3 linked regions of the Rattus norvegicus genome follow. The protein of the gene in region 3 interacts with the protein of the main gene of each other region in a biochemical or structural test. Links are inferred from orthologs where the notes say so. Each region holds a gene or a part of one and is shown on either strand. Other genes may lie near its edges.

The links.
Region 1: the proteins of Trim72 (region 3) and Insr form a complex in vitro, tested with the Homo sapiens proteins (2 studies listed by BioGRID). The link is inferred for Rattus norvegicus from reciprocal best matches to the Homo sapiens genes TRIM72 and INSR.
Region 2: the proteins of Trim72 (region 3) and Ube2h form a complex in vitro, tested with the Homo sapiens proteins (2 studies listed by BioGRID). The link is inferred for Rattus norvegicus from reciprocal best matches to the Homo sapiens genes TRIM72 and UBE2H.

The regions. Positions count from the first base shown.
Region 1 is NC_086030.1:6,030,121-6,035,248, reverse strand, and holds part of Insr (insulin receptor preproprotein), read left to right. Parts: intron 1-1,446; coding exon 1,447-1,573; intron 1,574-3,254; coding exon 3,255-3,511; intron 3,512-5,128. UniProt on the Homo sapiens protein: Receptor tyrosine kinase which mediates the pleiotropic actions of insulin.
Region 2 is NC_086022.1:59,809,401-59,814,528, forward strand, and holds part of Ube2h (ubiquitin-conjugating enzyme E2 H), read right to left. Parts: intron 3,294-5,128; coding exon 3,165-3,293; intron 1-3,164. UniProt on the Homo sapiens protein: Accepts ubiquitin from the E1 complex and catalyzes its covalent attachment to other proteins. E2 ubiquitin conjugating enzyme that transfers ubiquitin to MAEA, a core component of the CTLH E3 ubiquitin-protein ligase complex.
Region 3 is NC_086019.1:192,042,164-192,047,763, reverse strand, and holds the start of Trim72 (tripartite motif-containing protein 72), read right to left. Parts: upstream 3,545-5,600; 5' UTR 3,464-3,544; intron 3,031-3,463; 5' UTR 3,024-3,030; coding exon 2,634-3,023; intron 1,217-2,633; exon of another isoform or gene 815-1,216; intron 764-814; exon of another isoform or gene 622-763; intron 1-621. UniProt on the Homo sapiens protein: Muscle-specific E3 ubiquitin-protein ligase that plays a central role in cell membrane repair by nucleating the assembly of the repair machinery at injury sites.

The sequences.
Region 1 (5,128 bases), on a different chromosome or scaffold from region 3:
TCTGAGCCAGTTGCACAAAGCACAATGTTTTATGTCCCATAAGCATAAAACTAATGCTGAGGGCATCATGGCTGATGAAATATATGCAGCAGTGTATATCACCTGGGAAGCAGTGACAAGATGAAGTTTGGGGCTAGAAAAATGGATCAGTTCTGTTGCTTTCATCCAAAGCTTCTTGGGGATGATTTATTTTCTCTCACATTTCCAGATCACAATGCATCATTCAGGGAGCTCAGGGCAAAACTCAAGGCCCAGAGGCAGGAACTGAAGCAGTGACCATGGAAGAATGTTGTTTATGGGTTAGCTACCTTTCTTATATAAGCCCAGGGCCACCTACCCAGGCATGGCACTGTCCATAATAGATTGGGCCCTTCCTACATTAATCATCAGTCAAAAACATGCTTCACAGACATGACCACAGGCCAATCTGATGGAGGAAGATTTTCAGTGAGGTTCTTCTTCCCAGGTGTGTCAAGTTGATGACCAAGATTAGCCATCACACCTGCAAATACATGAGCATGCATACACATACGCATATACACGTACGCATACACACACATAACCGAGACCACCCCTTTGCTCAAAAGTGGCCAATTAGCTGTTCTTTTTGCATTGGCCTGGATCATCCAGGGTTCAGTTGAGCATTAGATTCAGCTTGGTCTTCAATACCGAGTTATCTGCTGACTCCTCACCTTTCAAACTCAGCAGGACCAGTTGCTACTTATGTGGATGAGGCCCATGTAAGCAGTAGCAGATCCTATACGCCCCTGTTTTCATTGTAGACCTAACACAGTCTAGAGTCACATAGAGAGAGAATCTTTTTTGGTTCTTTTTTTCGGAGTTGGGGACTGAACCCAGGGCCTTGCGCTTCCTAGGCAAGCGCTCTACCACTGAGCTAAATCCCCAACCCCATAGAGAGAGAATCTTAACTGAATCCCAGGTCAGACTGGTCCTCAGTCATGCCTGTGGAGCATTTTCTTGGTTGACGATTGATTGTTTAGAGGGTTTCTTGCTGGCCCAGAGCTCACCAAGTAGACTTGGCTGGCTTGGCTTTGTTTTTGATTGATTGTTGAAATGAGAAGAGCCATTCCATGGACTGGGTCTTGAGCATGAGAGTGGAGAAAGCTAAGTTGAGCAGCCGGCAGGCATCATCCTCATGTCCTCTTCTCTGCCGTTGACTGTGGATGATGAGAAATGATCAATGACTCACTACCTTAGTTTCCCTGAAATGACAGTCTGACCTGTAATTGTAGCCAAACAAACTCTTCCTCCTTTAAGCTGCTTTTTTCTTATGATATTTTATCACAGCAACAAAATGAAGACAGGTCTCCTGCCATCCTTTGATCTAACTCTCTTCCCAAAGAGGCAGGAGGTTGACTACTTTGGTCTGAAGCTAACTATTCAATCCAATTGCCTGACTTTTTTTTTTCTCTTGACCCTTTCTAGGTGAAAATGAATTACTTAAATTCTCTTTCATCCGGACGTCTTTTGACAAGATCTTGCTGAGGTGGGAGCCCTACTGGCCCCCCGACTTCCGAGATCTCCTGGGATTCATGCTGTTCTACAAAGAGGCGTAAGTAAGAGGAGGTAGATGTTTGCTCCTTGTTGCAGAGACAGACAAAGACTGTCAAGAAGAAGTTTAAGGAAGGGAAGTTCCATCTTGGCTCACAGTTTACATGGTGGGGTTGTCATAGCAACAGGAACATGAAGCAGCTGGTCACATGACATCACGGCTGACAGGAGGCATAGAGATGAATGCTGGCGCTCAGATCATGCTCCCCTTTAAAAGAAGATGTTTTACGCATTCCTTTACATTTTCACACATCTCTGTAGTATAGTGTGATCATATCCATCCACCATGTTCTCCCTCCACCATCCCCTAGTGTGTCCATCCTGCTAGTCCCTAAGCTTCACATGCTCTCTGTGTTGTTAACAAGCCTTTGAATTCAGTAAGTGCTGCCCATGTGTGCATGCATGCACATGGAGATATCCCTAGAGCATCCATGTCCCCAAAGGACTACTCCTCCTCTAGGAGAGGACCTTGGTGCCCTCCGCCATCCTTGCTGAAATGTCAATCGGCTTGATCTGGTTCAGGCAGTCCCAGCTGGCATGAGTTGCTGTGTGGAGCGACCATGCCATGTCCGCCATGTCCAATAGTCAGCACTGCACAGCTCCTCCCATTTTCCTCTTCATTTAGGCTGGGGGTGTATCTACCTGTCTCCATCTCACGGTGCTGGCATTGCAAATGTTCACTACCACACCTGGCCTTTCCATGGGTGCTAGGGATCGAACTCTGGTCTTCGTGTTTGTACGGCAAGCTCTTTGTCCACTGAGCCATCTCACAGGCCCAGCGGTCATATGTTGCTGACTCATGTAGGGAATATGAAATTTTCTATGGGGAACATAGAAAATGTTGGAGTGGGAAGAAAAAAAAAAAAGAATGCCTTGACTACACCTAAGCTACCACACACCGTACACCCTCGCTATGCCACAGAGCCTTAGTTATTTACCCTTATGGCTCCATGGTAAGTTGAGAACTGATACTCTGTGAGCGTAGTCAGCATTGTGAACTCATCACACTCTGCCGCGAGCTTGGGAGAGGCTGGAGAGGAAGCTCAGTAGTTACGTGTGCTTACCATGCTTCCAAGGACCTCAGTTCGCTTTCCAGCATCCAAGTAAGGCATCTCTCAACCATCAGAACCAGGGGTCCAGTGTTCCCTCTGGCCCTTGAAAGCACATACATGTGACTGCACACACTCAGATGCACATTCCTACTTCTAGAAAGACACATGCTGTGGAATGTACTTAAAGTCTCAAAGTACAAAGAAGCAGACATGGACAGATCTTTTGGGGGCTCTGACTAGCCAGAGTAGCTTTGGAGGTGAATTTTAGGACTGCAAACACAGGTGGCACTCAGATGTGAATGCCATTAGTCCCAGCACTGAGGACACAGAGGCAGGTAGACGTCTGTGAGTTTGAAGCCAACTAGGACTAGAGTCCATCTCAACAGACAGAAAAAACAAAGTTCATGGAACCTGATGCTGTTCTCCAGGTCCACGCACATACACTTCACCCTGTAAACACACACACACACACACACACACACACACACACACACACACACACACCTGCACCTGAACACTAAATCAAAGAGAGAAGTGAGTCTACATCTCGTAACTCTCCCCCACTCCACTTAGTACTGAGATTGACATTTACACAGTGGTAACCCACCTCTCCCTCTCATTTCTCAAAAGCCCTTATCAGAACGTGACAGAGTTTGACGGGCAGGATGCGTGTGGCTCCAACAGCTGGACTGTGGTGGATATTGACCCGCCCCAGAGGTCCAACGACCCTAAGTCTCAGACCCCAAGCCACCCTGGGTGGCTGATGCGGGGCCTCAAACCCTGGACCCAGTATGCCATCTTTGTCAAGACCTTGGTTACCTTCTCTGATGAACGCCGGACCTATGGAGCCAAAAGTGATATCATCTATGTGCAAACAGATGCCACCAGTAAGTTTGTCCTGGGAATAGGGCTTTGCTGTTGAACCGACTCTGTATCTGTGGTAGGCAGCTTCTGTAACAGGCTTTGCTGTGGTTGGCCTGTAGAGGAGCTAAGAGCTGAGGCTCATGTTTTCATATATAATGACTATAACCCATGAACCACTTCAGAGTTCGAGAGTTCCCTTTTGGGTTGGGAAGATGGCTTGGTGGGTAAGACTGTATGATGCTCCCATTACCACATTGAAAGCTGGGTATGACCATGTTCGTGCTCCGGAGTCCTGGGTCCCAAGGGTTTCCATGTACTTGCCTCTACTCCCAGAGCACTGGGGCTCAAGGACAGGGCAAGGTGATGCTAGGATTTGATAGTTGCCAGCCTAGCTTCAGTTTCAATGAAAGATCCTGTGTCAAAAGAGTAAGGTAGACAGTGATAGAATGGGATGCCTGATTCCTCTGCTGGGCTCTGCGCATGCAGAGGTACCACCTATCTAACACACACATGCACACCTCCCACATATAACACATGCTACATATAACATACCACATACAACACATGCTACATGTAATACACACATGTATACACACACAGCACATCTAACACATACCATATGCAACACACATGTACACCTGCCCATCATATATAATATACACACATGTTACATATAACACACACATTGCATGTAACACACATGTGTAAGTATGCATATATATAACACACATACTACATATACTATACAGACACCACATATAACACAGTCACCACATGTAGCACATGTATATGCACACACATACCACATATAACACATATCATATGCAGCATACACTCACTCATACACACCTGCCCAACATATATAATATGCACACATATTACATGTAACACACACATTGCATGTAACACATATGCACAAATGTGCCTATACATAACACATATAATACACATACTACTTATAATACTCACACAGATACCACATATCACACAATCACCACATGTAGCACATGTGTATGCACACACATACCACATATAATATGCTCACATACCACATAAAACATATTTGAACATATACTAGAACACACATTCACACATCTAACACACAATGTAAGTGCACACACACATACACACACATGTGCACACAGAAATGGACACATGCGGGGTTGGGGATTTAGCTCAGTGGTAGAGCACTTGCCTACCAAGCACAAGGCCCTGGGTTCGGTCCTCAGCTCCGAAAAAAAAAAAAAAGAAATATGAAAAAAAAAAGAAGTGAATTCAATCAATAAGTATCTTAATTAGTTAATTAAAAATGAGAATTAGCCCTGGTATACACATCTGTAGTCTCATCACTTGGGAGGCTGAGGCAAGGGAATTGTGTGTTTGAGGCCAGCCTGGATTACATATTAAGACCTTGTCACAACCTTAAAACAACAATAAAATAATAGTGAAATGTTTGGGGGTAGAGGCAGGAGGATCAGGAGTTCACACCTATCGACATGTTAAGTTTGAAGCCAACCTGGACTATATGAGACCCAGTCTCAAAAAAGCGAACAAAGCCCCAGAAAATAGCAACAAAAACAAAGTATTATGTTGCTCTGTTTCATGACTTGCTATCGTTAGTTTCTACTGGTTATAAGTTA
Region 2 (5,128 bases), on a different chromosome or scaffold from region 3:
TAGTTGTGGTCAAAGAAACAAAAAGAAAATAAATTCAGGGATCTCTCTCTCTCTCCTATCCTGCTTTCTCTCCTATCCAGTGTGAGGGGTAAAATTGGGGGGACAAAGGGTGGGAAAAAGAAGAACCCACAAAGTATCAAAGAACAGCCACAACAGAGTCTCTCTGCCTGCCTCTACCTCCTGAGTGCCGGCTCGCTTACTAGTGAAGGTTTTGCATGGGAGTTACCTATCTTTAGACAAGACCAAGGGTCCCCATGTCACCTACAGGCTGGCTGTACTCAACTGTGTTTTTACACCTGCATTTTAAAAGATTTATTTTTATATTTATTGATGTGGATATGGGTGTGTCTGTCTATGGGGAGAGGGGGACACTACCCGAGGATACCAGAGACATTGGATCCTCTAAAGCCGAAATTCCAGGCAGTAGTGGTCTGTGGATATGGGTGCTGAGAACTGAACTTAATCATTTGTGTGGTGCATTGAATTAGAATGTCCCCCGTAGGCTCATCCATTTGAATACTTGGCCCCCAGTTATTGAAACTGGGACGGGTCAGAAGGTGTGGTCTTATGGAGGTGTTATGTCACTGGTATGTGTACATCATTCGCTGTTGAGACATCATCTCTCTAGCAGCGCTGTGTGCCACACCTGCAGGTAAACAGCATCAGGTAGACTAAATGCTAAGGCCTGGGGGAGAAGCAGTTCCGACTCTCTATGATGAAGTGTGCTAAGCTGTGACTACCACTGTAAAGATGACCTGAGAAAAGGGTCAGGCCTAGACACACCCCGCTGAGCCAACATTATCTAGAGGATTACTGAAAGCCATGGATAAGGTACTCAGGGGAGAGGGGGGAGCCTGGGGGTAAAAGCGTATATTGGTCATAAGAGAATGGTCACTGTGATGGTTTGCATATGTTTGGCCCAGGAAGTGGCACTACTAGAAGGTGTGACCTTGTTGGAGGAAGTGTGTCACTGTGGGGGTGCCTTGGAGATCCTCCTCCTAGCTGCCTGGGGATGCTCAGGCTGTTCCTGGCTTCCCTCAGGTGAAGATGTAGAAACTCAGCTCCCTCTGCACCGGCCTGCCTGGATGTTGTGATGCTGCCATGCTCCCGCCTTGATGATAACCAACTGAACCTCTGAACCTGTAAGCCAGCCCCAATTAAATGTTGTCTTTACAAGAGTTGCATTGGTCATGGGGTCTGTTCATAGCAATGAGACCCTGACTAAGACAGTCACATTTAGGAAATGGGAATGAGAACCAGAGTAGAAGGAAACACCAGAGTTGTAGCGAGGCCCAGGTATGGGGCCTGAGAAGGATCCACAGGTTTGGAGGAAGTGAGGCTCCAGCTTTGGTAGAGAGGGGTATGGTTTCAGGGCAGGAAGCATAAGTCCTAAAAGCAGCAGACAAGGGCTTTAGAAATGGGCGATCCCAGTAGTAAGGGAAGCAAATGTACAAGTTGGTGAGGGTGAGTGTGAGGAATGAGGCACAGGGAAGATGGGGACTGGTGTGCAGAGGTACAGCAGAGAGCAGGGCAGAGCGCAGGCCTGACAGCCACGACATCTCACACCACCCTACCAAGGGTTGCAAACTGACTCAATGTGGACACCACAGAAAGTTAGGGGTCCCCAGACAGAAGCAGCTATCTACCCTAAGATGAACACAGGTCTGGTTTCCTTGGCAACCAGGGCCAGAGCAAACCTGTAGTACAGTCATGACAGTACTATATTGCTAAGGCATAATGGGTGTTGGAACTATATAAATATTTTCTGTATTAAGATACCCATGGTTTACAGACACTGGTAAGTGAAGGCAATGTCAAAATTTTAGCATAGTTTCCTAACAAAATCTTATATGGTTGAAATTGCAGTTTACTTAGAGTACATGGGTTTTTAGCTATGTACATTACTGTGCTATATTAAATTAGGTTATTAATTTGCAAAGTACTCGAGACCTATGAAAACGAACATTTCTACTTTAAACAAAAATATTCAGGGCTGGGGATTTAGCTCAGTGGTAGAGCGCTTACCTAGGAAGCGCAAGGCCCTGGGTTCGGTCCCCAGCTCCGAAAAAAAGAACCAAAAAAAAAAAAAAATATTCAACAATACTCCATAGAGACCTGGGGATAGGAGAAACAAACAGAAGAAAACTATTACTCGACACATGGTCCCAGTGTTCCTGTTTGACTTGAGCCCTGCACATCTAAACTGGAGACCTATGTGCTCAAGTTCTCCTTCACTGCTGTTGTTGGCCAATGGGTTTGGACCCACTTGAGGCTCTTGATGTGCTATATCCTGTGCAGATGAGCACATCATTATCTAACAGGCGGGAACCCAGTGCTAGCTGTGTGTGCACAAGGGGCAGACGCCGCCACACTTGGCGTCTCTTCCTTTTGTGTTAAGCTTTATGCACCTACCAGTTTCACAGGCAAGCTCCCAGTGCAGACCCAGGTAAGGGCAAGCAGGGGTGGTGGCTGTAGCACAACCAGAAGGCACACTGAAGAGAAAGGAAGGTGAGCAGACACAACTCCAGCTTTCGGTGTACTTTCACAGCCTTATGCAAGTGGTCGGTCCCAAGTGTGGGAACATAGGCTCTAAGCCCTACAGGTAGTCAATGAGACCACTGCAGTCTCTTCTCAGACTAGAGAAAGCCTACAAGAAACGGAGTCACTTAAAGAGGCTTTAGGCTGCTGCTGGTGGTGGTGGAGGTGGTGCGCACCTTTAATCCCTTTAATCTGAGGAAGCAGAGGCAGGTGGATCTCGAGTTCCAGGACAGCATGGCCTAAAGAGTGAGTTTCAGAACAGCCAAGGCTACACAGAGCAGGTGAGCAAGAGGGGGAGAAGGGTGTTAGGAGAGCAGAGAGGTAGTTCTGAGGTTAAGAGTGCTTGCTGGGGGGTTGGGGATTTAGCTCAGTGGTAGAGTGCTTGCCTAGCAAGCGCAAGGCCCTGGGTTCAGTCCTCAGCTCCGAAAAAAAAGAAAAAGAAAAAAAAGAAAAAAAAGAAAAAAACAAAAAACAAAAAAAAACCCCCCAAAAACTGCTCGCTGCTCTTCTAGGGGACCTGCTTGTAGTTTCCAGTGCCATTTGGCCTTCGTGGACATTTTGTCTCAAAAAACAAAACACAACAAAACAGACTCTAAATGGCCAGCTAAAAGCACAAGCCATCTTACCTTTAATTTTCTGCTTGTACTCTTCTGGTCGGTGGAGGTACATGGCTGCAGCATCACCATTGAGAGGATCTATGGGGTTAGGATAGGCCAGCAATTGGGGCAGGAAGGACTCAAATATATTGGTAAGATCTGAAAAAACAAACAAAAAAACCACTTCATGCATGGAAACATGCAATTTCACCTAATTAACTGGAATTCAGTAGTCAAGAATGCTCTAAAAATGTTTTTATTTACAAGTATGTGTTTTAGGCTGCATTAATGTATGTGCATCACATGCATGCAAAATGCCCACCAAGGCCAAATGGCGCTGGGAACTACAGGCAGGTCCCTTAGAAGAGCAGCAAACACTCTTTTTTTTTTTTTCTTTTTTTTCGGAGCTGGGGACCGAACCCAGGGCCTTGCAGTTGCTAGGCAAGCGCTCTACCACTGAGCTAAATCCCCAACGGAGCAGCAAGCACTCTTAAGCACAGAACTACCTCTCCGCTCTCCCAACACCCTTCTCCCTGTCTTGCTTACCTGCTTAAATGCTCAGCTACAATGCAGATGATTTCCCACAAAGGTATGTTCCACAATAACATCAACACCAATTATATTTGAAACTTATACCTAAGCAGCCACATGAGCATACGCAGAGCATTCTCTTTAAAAGGCAATTTTCTCAACCTTTACCCCCCAACCCCCTTTTTCTGCATTGTTGAAAGAAAGTTCAAATCCAGGATCTTATGATAGGCTGGTATGACCACAGCCCCATTTTCCCACTTTAAATCTACTCCATTTCCCAAACTAAGATGTACAACAATCTATTCCACCCCGAGCTACTGTAATTCCTCTGTACGACATCTTGTTCCTCTGTGCATGCAGGAGGACTGTGAGGGAGCATCTGCTGTGGGGTGTGCACTGGAGTCAGGCAACTCTGTGGAGCTGGCTCACTCTTCCACCTTTACATGGGTTCAGGGGACTGAACCCAGGAACCAAGTGTGCATGGCAAACAGCTTACCCACACTAAGCCATCTCGCCAATGTTGAGGGTTGGTGTGTTGCTATGTATTGTAATGCTAAATAAGGCCCTAGTCCGCTTCTCCAAGTGGTGCTGTGTAACCTTGCCCACCAAGGTATCCCTGATTGGTCAGTAGAGATGCCTACAGCCTATAGCTGGGCAGAAGAGAGGTAGGCAGAGTTTCGGTTCTCTGAGGCAGAGGAAGGAGAGAGAAGGACAGACAGACAGACACAAACATACAGAAGACACCATGAGGGTTGGCCAACTGGAGAAAGAACGGCCCAGCAAGAACATGGCAAATTAAAATTCCAGGGTATTGATAGGGAAGTAGGCAAAATAGCATAGGTTGATGTCTGTCCAGCTCTAGTGCTTTAAGACTTATTATAAATATGAAGGTTGGGCTGGAGAGATGGCTTAGTGGTTAAGAGCACTGGCTGCTCTTCCAGAGGTCCTGAGTTCAAATCCCAGCAACCATATGGTGGCTCATAACTATCTGTAATGAGATCTGATGCCCTCTTCTGGTGTGTCTGAAGACAGCTACAGTGTACTTATAAATAAATAAATCTTAAAAAAAAGTTTAAAAAAAAAATGAAGGTTTTGTGCCTTTTATTTGGGAACTGAATGATCCCAGGTAAGGTAGAAACCCCTATTAACTAGCTCAAAGTGACATAATTTCCTGCAAAAATATTTTTGTTTTATGTATGAGTGTTTTATGCCTGCACATGTCTGTGTCATGTGTACAGGGTCCACAGCTGCTGGAAGCAGCATGAGATCCCACTGGAACGGGAGTCACATAGAGGTGCTGGGAACTGAACCTTGGTTCTCTGGAAAAGTAGCCGGTTTTTAACCACTGAGTTCACTCTCCAGCCCTATGAGTAATTCCTTAAAATAGCCAACTTTTACCATTTTCAAAACCCTCTACTGTGTACTGTTTGTGACACAGTCTCCCATATGGGGCTGCCACAAAC
Region 3 (5,600 bases):
TCCCACTGGCCTTAATTTCTCCAGCATCACCTGCAAGCACTTAACCCCAGTATAGGTCCTTGCAAGGATCACAAACACAAGATCACCACCAGACTGCAAAGTATAGCACGTGGCACACAACAGGCTTCCAGAAATGAGTGAAGGGTGAATGAAAAAAGAAAGGACGCTAGCTAGCCATGATAGTCCATGTCTGCAACCCCAACTCTCAGGAGGCTGAGGCAGGAGAATCACAAATTTGAGGTCCAGCCTGAGCTACATAACAATACCTAAGACCTTGTCTCAGAAGAGAAGAAGGAAGAGAGAGGAAGGAAAATGAGGGGGAGGAAGAAGCAGAGAAGGAGTGGGGAGGAGGGGGAGGAGGAAAAAGGGGAGGAGGAAGAAGGAGAGGGAGTATAATCTTCCCTTCCTGTGTTTCACCCCTTACTTAAAAATGCAGCCATAGTCAGCTGGTGCCCTAGCCAGCCCTTTCCAGGCCTATGGGCTCCGAGGACAGAAAATCTAGTGTACACACCCACTAGGGACCAGCTAAGCCTTCTGTGAGCTGTCTAGGGACCACTGGAGTGCAAGCATGGGAGAGCTTCTAACAGTAGGTCCCTGCCGTGGTTACCCCTGCCTTCTTACCACCACTGCTCTTCTTAGCCTCCTCTTCCTCCTCTGCAGAATGGGACAGTAACACCCCCACTTCAACCAGATGACACCTCCTGCTCCCCTGGGGAAACTGATGACGCAAGGTGGTGTTTGTTGAGGAATAGCAGCCCAGAGGAAACCACAGGGCTGAACCAAAGACTACTGGCTAGCTGCCAGATCAATCTCTTCCTCAGATGGTCTTCCTTGAGGCATCCACATCTGTTGTCAGTGAGGATAGCCTGGTTGCTCCAGGTGCTTGTGATCAGAGGTTCAGAGGACTCAGGGCTGAGCCATGGCAAACAAGCACCATCAGAAGGTATTAGGGTGTCTGACTACCCCAAGAAGTTCAAGCTTGAAGCTAGCTCCACTCCCGAGGGCTTTTGACACATCCTGGGAGATGAGGGAACCTGGGCCACTGGATGCCATCAACCTCACCACCAAGCCGGTTGCCTCCTACTTCGAGGACTACACAGTGTCAAACCCATAGCGACCATGGCGCAGGACATGGGTGTACAGGGATGTGCAGCACAGCTTCAAAAGGCAGTGCGGGCCCCAGTACCCAGGAACTTGCCCAACCACACTGAGTCTGGTAAGTGGGTTCCTGACCCAACCCTCTAGCCTGTCAAAGCTCCAGAGCTCCTCCTGTCTCCACCCCAGCCCCACCTTGGGCTCTTTTCTGGGGTCTCCTTTTTCAGACCTCCTAAGGCTTAAGGCTAAGCTGATGCAGATCCCTGAGACTGGAGCTCCATGTCTGTCCCTTATGTTTCCAGAAGCCTGAGAGACTTCTATTTTACAGGTTAAATATAGTTCACAGACAAAAATGAGTAAGGTTGGGGTTGGGGATTTAGCTCAGTGGTAGAGCGCTTGCCTAGGAAGCGCAAGGCCCTGGGTTCGGTCCAGCTCCGGAAAAAAAAAAGAAAAAAGAAAAAAAAATGAGTAAGGTTAGATAGAGTTCAGGGGTTAGCAAAGAGGAACTGGGCTGGGAGGTCTCCTAACAGCAGACTCACAGCCAGGACTGAACTGAACTAAGGAGGGCACAGGAAGGAGGGTTGTGAGGCAAGGCCCCAGAACGTTTGGGAATTGGTACCAAAGAAGAGTGACGACTAGGTGCTGAGAAAGCAGTGCCTATGAGGCAGCAGAACACAATAGCAACAGCTTCACTGGGCTGGGGAAGGGCCACTCCTTACCTCCAGACCCCACTTCCTCCCCCCACCTCTGCCCCTGCTGCTAGGGGTTTTTTTTCCCCCATAGACCGTCCTGGGCTGGGTAGACACCTATCTGCTATATCTACATGCACATGACTTGGGATATACATGATTTTAGGAGTCTGTGTACTTGGTGTATATCCATTTGACGACAATTGGATTTTTTTCCTGGTGCAACTTCAGGATAACACAATTGTGTAAGGGCTGTATTCTAGTTCAAACTATAATAATAGCTTAGGCTGGAATCTTGGTGCTACCTACCCATGGTGAGCTTTGGCCAGGAATGCCTCACCCTTCCCACTGCCCTTGAAAACTTCAGGCTTGCACAAGTTTAGTAGTTTCAGGAATGAGTGGGCCTCTGTCATTCATCAGTGCGAAGCTGGACTGCCGGCCTCTGGGACTCCTGGGCAAGCCTTTAACTTTCTGTCTGCTAGTCTCACCGTGCAAACATGCCAGCCTAGCAGTTCACCCAAGAATGTGTGGGTAGTTTCCCAGCCCCAATATGCCAGACACACCACGGTTTGGTCAGACCCGGCTCTGGCATGTTCAGGCTTGCTGGAGGATTGCAGCCAAGCAAGCTAGCTAGCTACTCTATAGGCAGCTTCCAGCTGGTTCCTGTGAGCTCTGCTCTGCAGATGCTACATGCGGCCTTTGGACCCATCTTCTGGCTGCCTAGCTCCCCCACTCTCCTTAGCAACCTAGAGCCCATCCTCCAAAGCTCATAACATAAGTCAACTCGCTTCCCAAGGTCAGACCCTTGCTGTAATCAGCAGTCCCACCCAGCCTTCACTGGTCCAGCACCTTGAGACGTGCATGGGCTTCTGCGGCAGGCAGAAGACGGTGACCACGGTGTGAACCGAGAGAGGCACACACACCACACACAAGTGTGCGGTCCTGCTCGCAGTAGATGCTCAGTGGATCCAGGTGTTCCTCGCAGTGGCCTTGGGGCACTTGTGCCAAACCCTCCACAAGGCGTGCCAACTGGAGGTTAGTGCTTAGCGCCTGTGGCCGAGTAGATGCCTGACAACAGGGACAGGCAACCGTGCCATCGTCGGCAGGCTCCCCTGCCACACGGATCAGGCAGGCACGGCAGAAACTGTGGCCACACTCAGCGGTCACTGGTGCATCGAACAGCTGCAAGCACAGCGGGCAAGACAGTTCCTGGCGCAAAAGGCCTGGTGCAGTCGACATGGTGAGCCTGGGAAGAGGAGTCCCATCAGACAAACTCAAAGACAAGAATTCCAGTTCAGTCCTATGCGGGATCTGTGTCCCAGCAGCCAGAGCTCCATCCTATAACTACCTCACATCCCATAGTGGAAGAGACTCTGGTTATGGTCAAATGGTAAAGAGGATGTGGTCTCATCCCAAAGTGAGTGTATATTGCCATTCTCAGCCCAGATAGAAGCAAATGTGACCCAACGGGGCATTTATCAACCCCGGTTTCTAAACACTACCCAATTCCACCCACTCCTTGCTACTGACTTAGCCCAGGCTTCAGCCTGTGACCTAGGTCTGGGCCTTCGTTCCTCTGGAATTATCTAGAATCCCCTCCCCAATTGACCTTCCACTGACCTCTCTCTAGCATACCTAACCCTCTCTTTCCCCCTTATCTCCAGGCCCATAGGACTTACAGGTCTGGTGGGAAAACTTAGGCCAGAAAAGATTTCCAGGAGGACCAGTCAGGAACAGGCTTAACAGCAGGGTGACCGGAGTTATGTCCAGAGACAAGCAAGAAGCAAGCAGCAGGCTCAATGCAAGGGCAGGGACTCAGGGCCAGATGGCAGTGGGTGGACGTAACAGGTGACATGCACATAGTGGACAGACCCTCCCAGATAGTTCAATGGCCCAAGAACTATATTTAGCTGTCCTATCCACTCCCTCCCACCACTTTCTGGAAACTGTTCTAAATGTGGAGTGTGAGTAGTCAGCAGGAACATGTCCATGTCTAGGCCACCTGGCCGCGCCTGTCCTGGTCCTTTCCTCAGGCCATGGTAGAATTTAGAGTCAGTGGACAAACAGGGCTGCCTCTTCAAGCACTTCTATGCTGGCCTGCCTTCCTCCTTGATGCTATTAGTTAACCTATTCATTTCCTAAGTTGACCACTTACCAAAGCCACACTGGCAGTGTTAACCCCACCTGTGGGAAGGCAGGACCTCCTTCCTCTATAACTAAGGTGAGGGTATTTTTCCTCTATTTTCTAGCATAGGCCCTGGAACAAAGTATCCCCTCCCCCAAACACTTGGAGAATGCAAGAAAGGTAGTTAAATGAATGAACTGAGCCTACAGCTCAAAACTGGACTTGCCCTCCCTGGGCACACCAGACTTTCTTATATGCTTATCTTTCAATTGGCAATATCAATTTTAATCAGAATAAAAATCAAAGTCTTCCTTATGACCTACAATTTATACCCATCTGGCCCCATTCATTGCTCTGACCTGTGCCTCACCCTTTCCCCCTGGTCCTTGGAGGACTTTGTCCTTGCCACTCTGTCTAGAACATTCTTGCAATCCCAGATATTGCATAGCTCTTTTCCTTCTCTCCTCAGATCACTTCTCAGCGTCAAGCTTCCAGTGATGCCTTTTCAGACTCCTAGATCTTTTTCTTAAACCCTGAGTGTCACAGAGCTGCTTACAGTAACAAGACAGATACACAACATTCCGTCACATCTTTAAATTTTAAGTACCAAGCTAAAGAAATGGCTCAATGGTTAAGAGGCATTGTCTACTCCTCCAGAGTACCTTAGGTCTGTCCCCCAAGCTGCTCACAACCATCTACAACTCCAGCTCCAGACAACCTGTTATTTCCTCTTCTGACCTCTGTGGATACTAGGCACACAAGTGGTACATAAACACACATGCATACACCCAAACATATAAATAATTTTAAGGCATTTTTTAAAAAATGCAATTGAAGCAAGAGGTTGGTGTGGAGTGACTTATGCCTGAGAAGCTGAGGCAAGAGGAGAGAGTCCCAGCTGCTGGCACAGAGTGACGTGTAGATTATGTGGTGTGGCCTAGAGGCACTGTGGAGCCTTGTGGGATTTAGAAACCTCACCTGGGGCTCCCACTGAAGAAGGCTGACTCCGGGCCATGTGCAGAGGCCAGGTGGGTGGAGGTTGCAGGAAGGCGATGTGCCCCAGCCTCCCCACTGGTTGTGCACAGGTTTCTTCGGTGTCCAGACACTGCACAAGGTCATCTGCTTAAACTGAATTGTTTTTTTCACCCAGAAAATGAAATACACAGCCTCCAGCGACTGGATGAAAACACACAATAACTCCTTTCTCTCAAGGAGAGTTTCAAGAGACTTCAGCTTGGGTTGCCCAAGTCATTTGACTGGAAGATTTGTCTATGTGCACTAAAGGAGAATCTGGCCCTACTGTGTGTACCTGGACCTTTTGGGTTTGACTCTTGATTTGCTTTTTTGGGTGTTCACTGGCCTGAGGACTGCTGTGTGTGGTGGCTGTAAATAAATGGAGCTTGACTTCAAAAAAAAAAAAAAAGAGTCCAAAGCCAGCCTTGGATACATGAGAACCTGAGAAGTGGGGGGAGGGGAGAATATATATATGAGAGTGCTATTGGGGGAGGGTGCACACTTTTAATCCCAGCACTCAGGAAGCAGAAGCAGGCAGGTCTTTGAGTTCAAGGCCAGCCTGGTCTATAGAGTGAGTTTCAGGACAACCAGAGCTACCCAGAAAAATCTCCGTCCTGAAAAACAAAACAAACTCTGTGTGTGTGTGTGTGTGTGTGTGTGTGTGTGTGTGTGTGTGT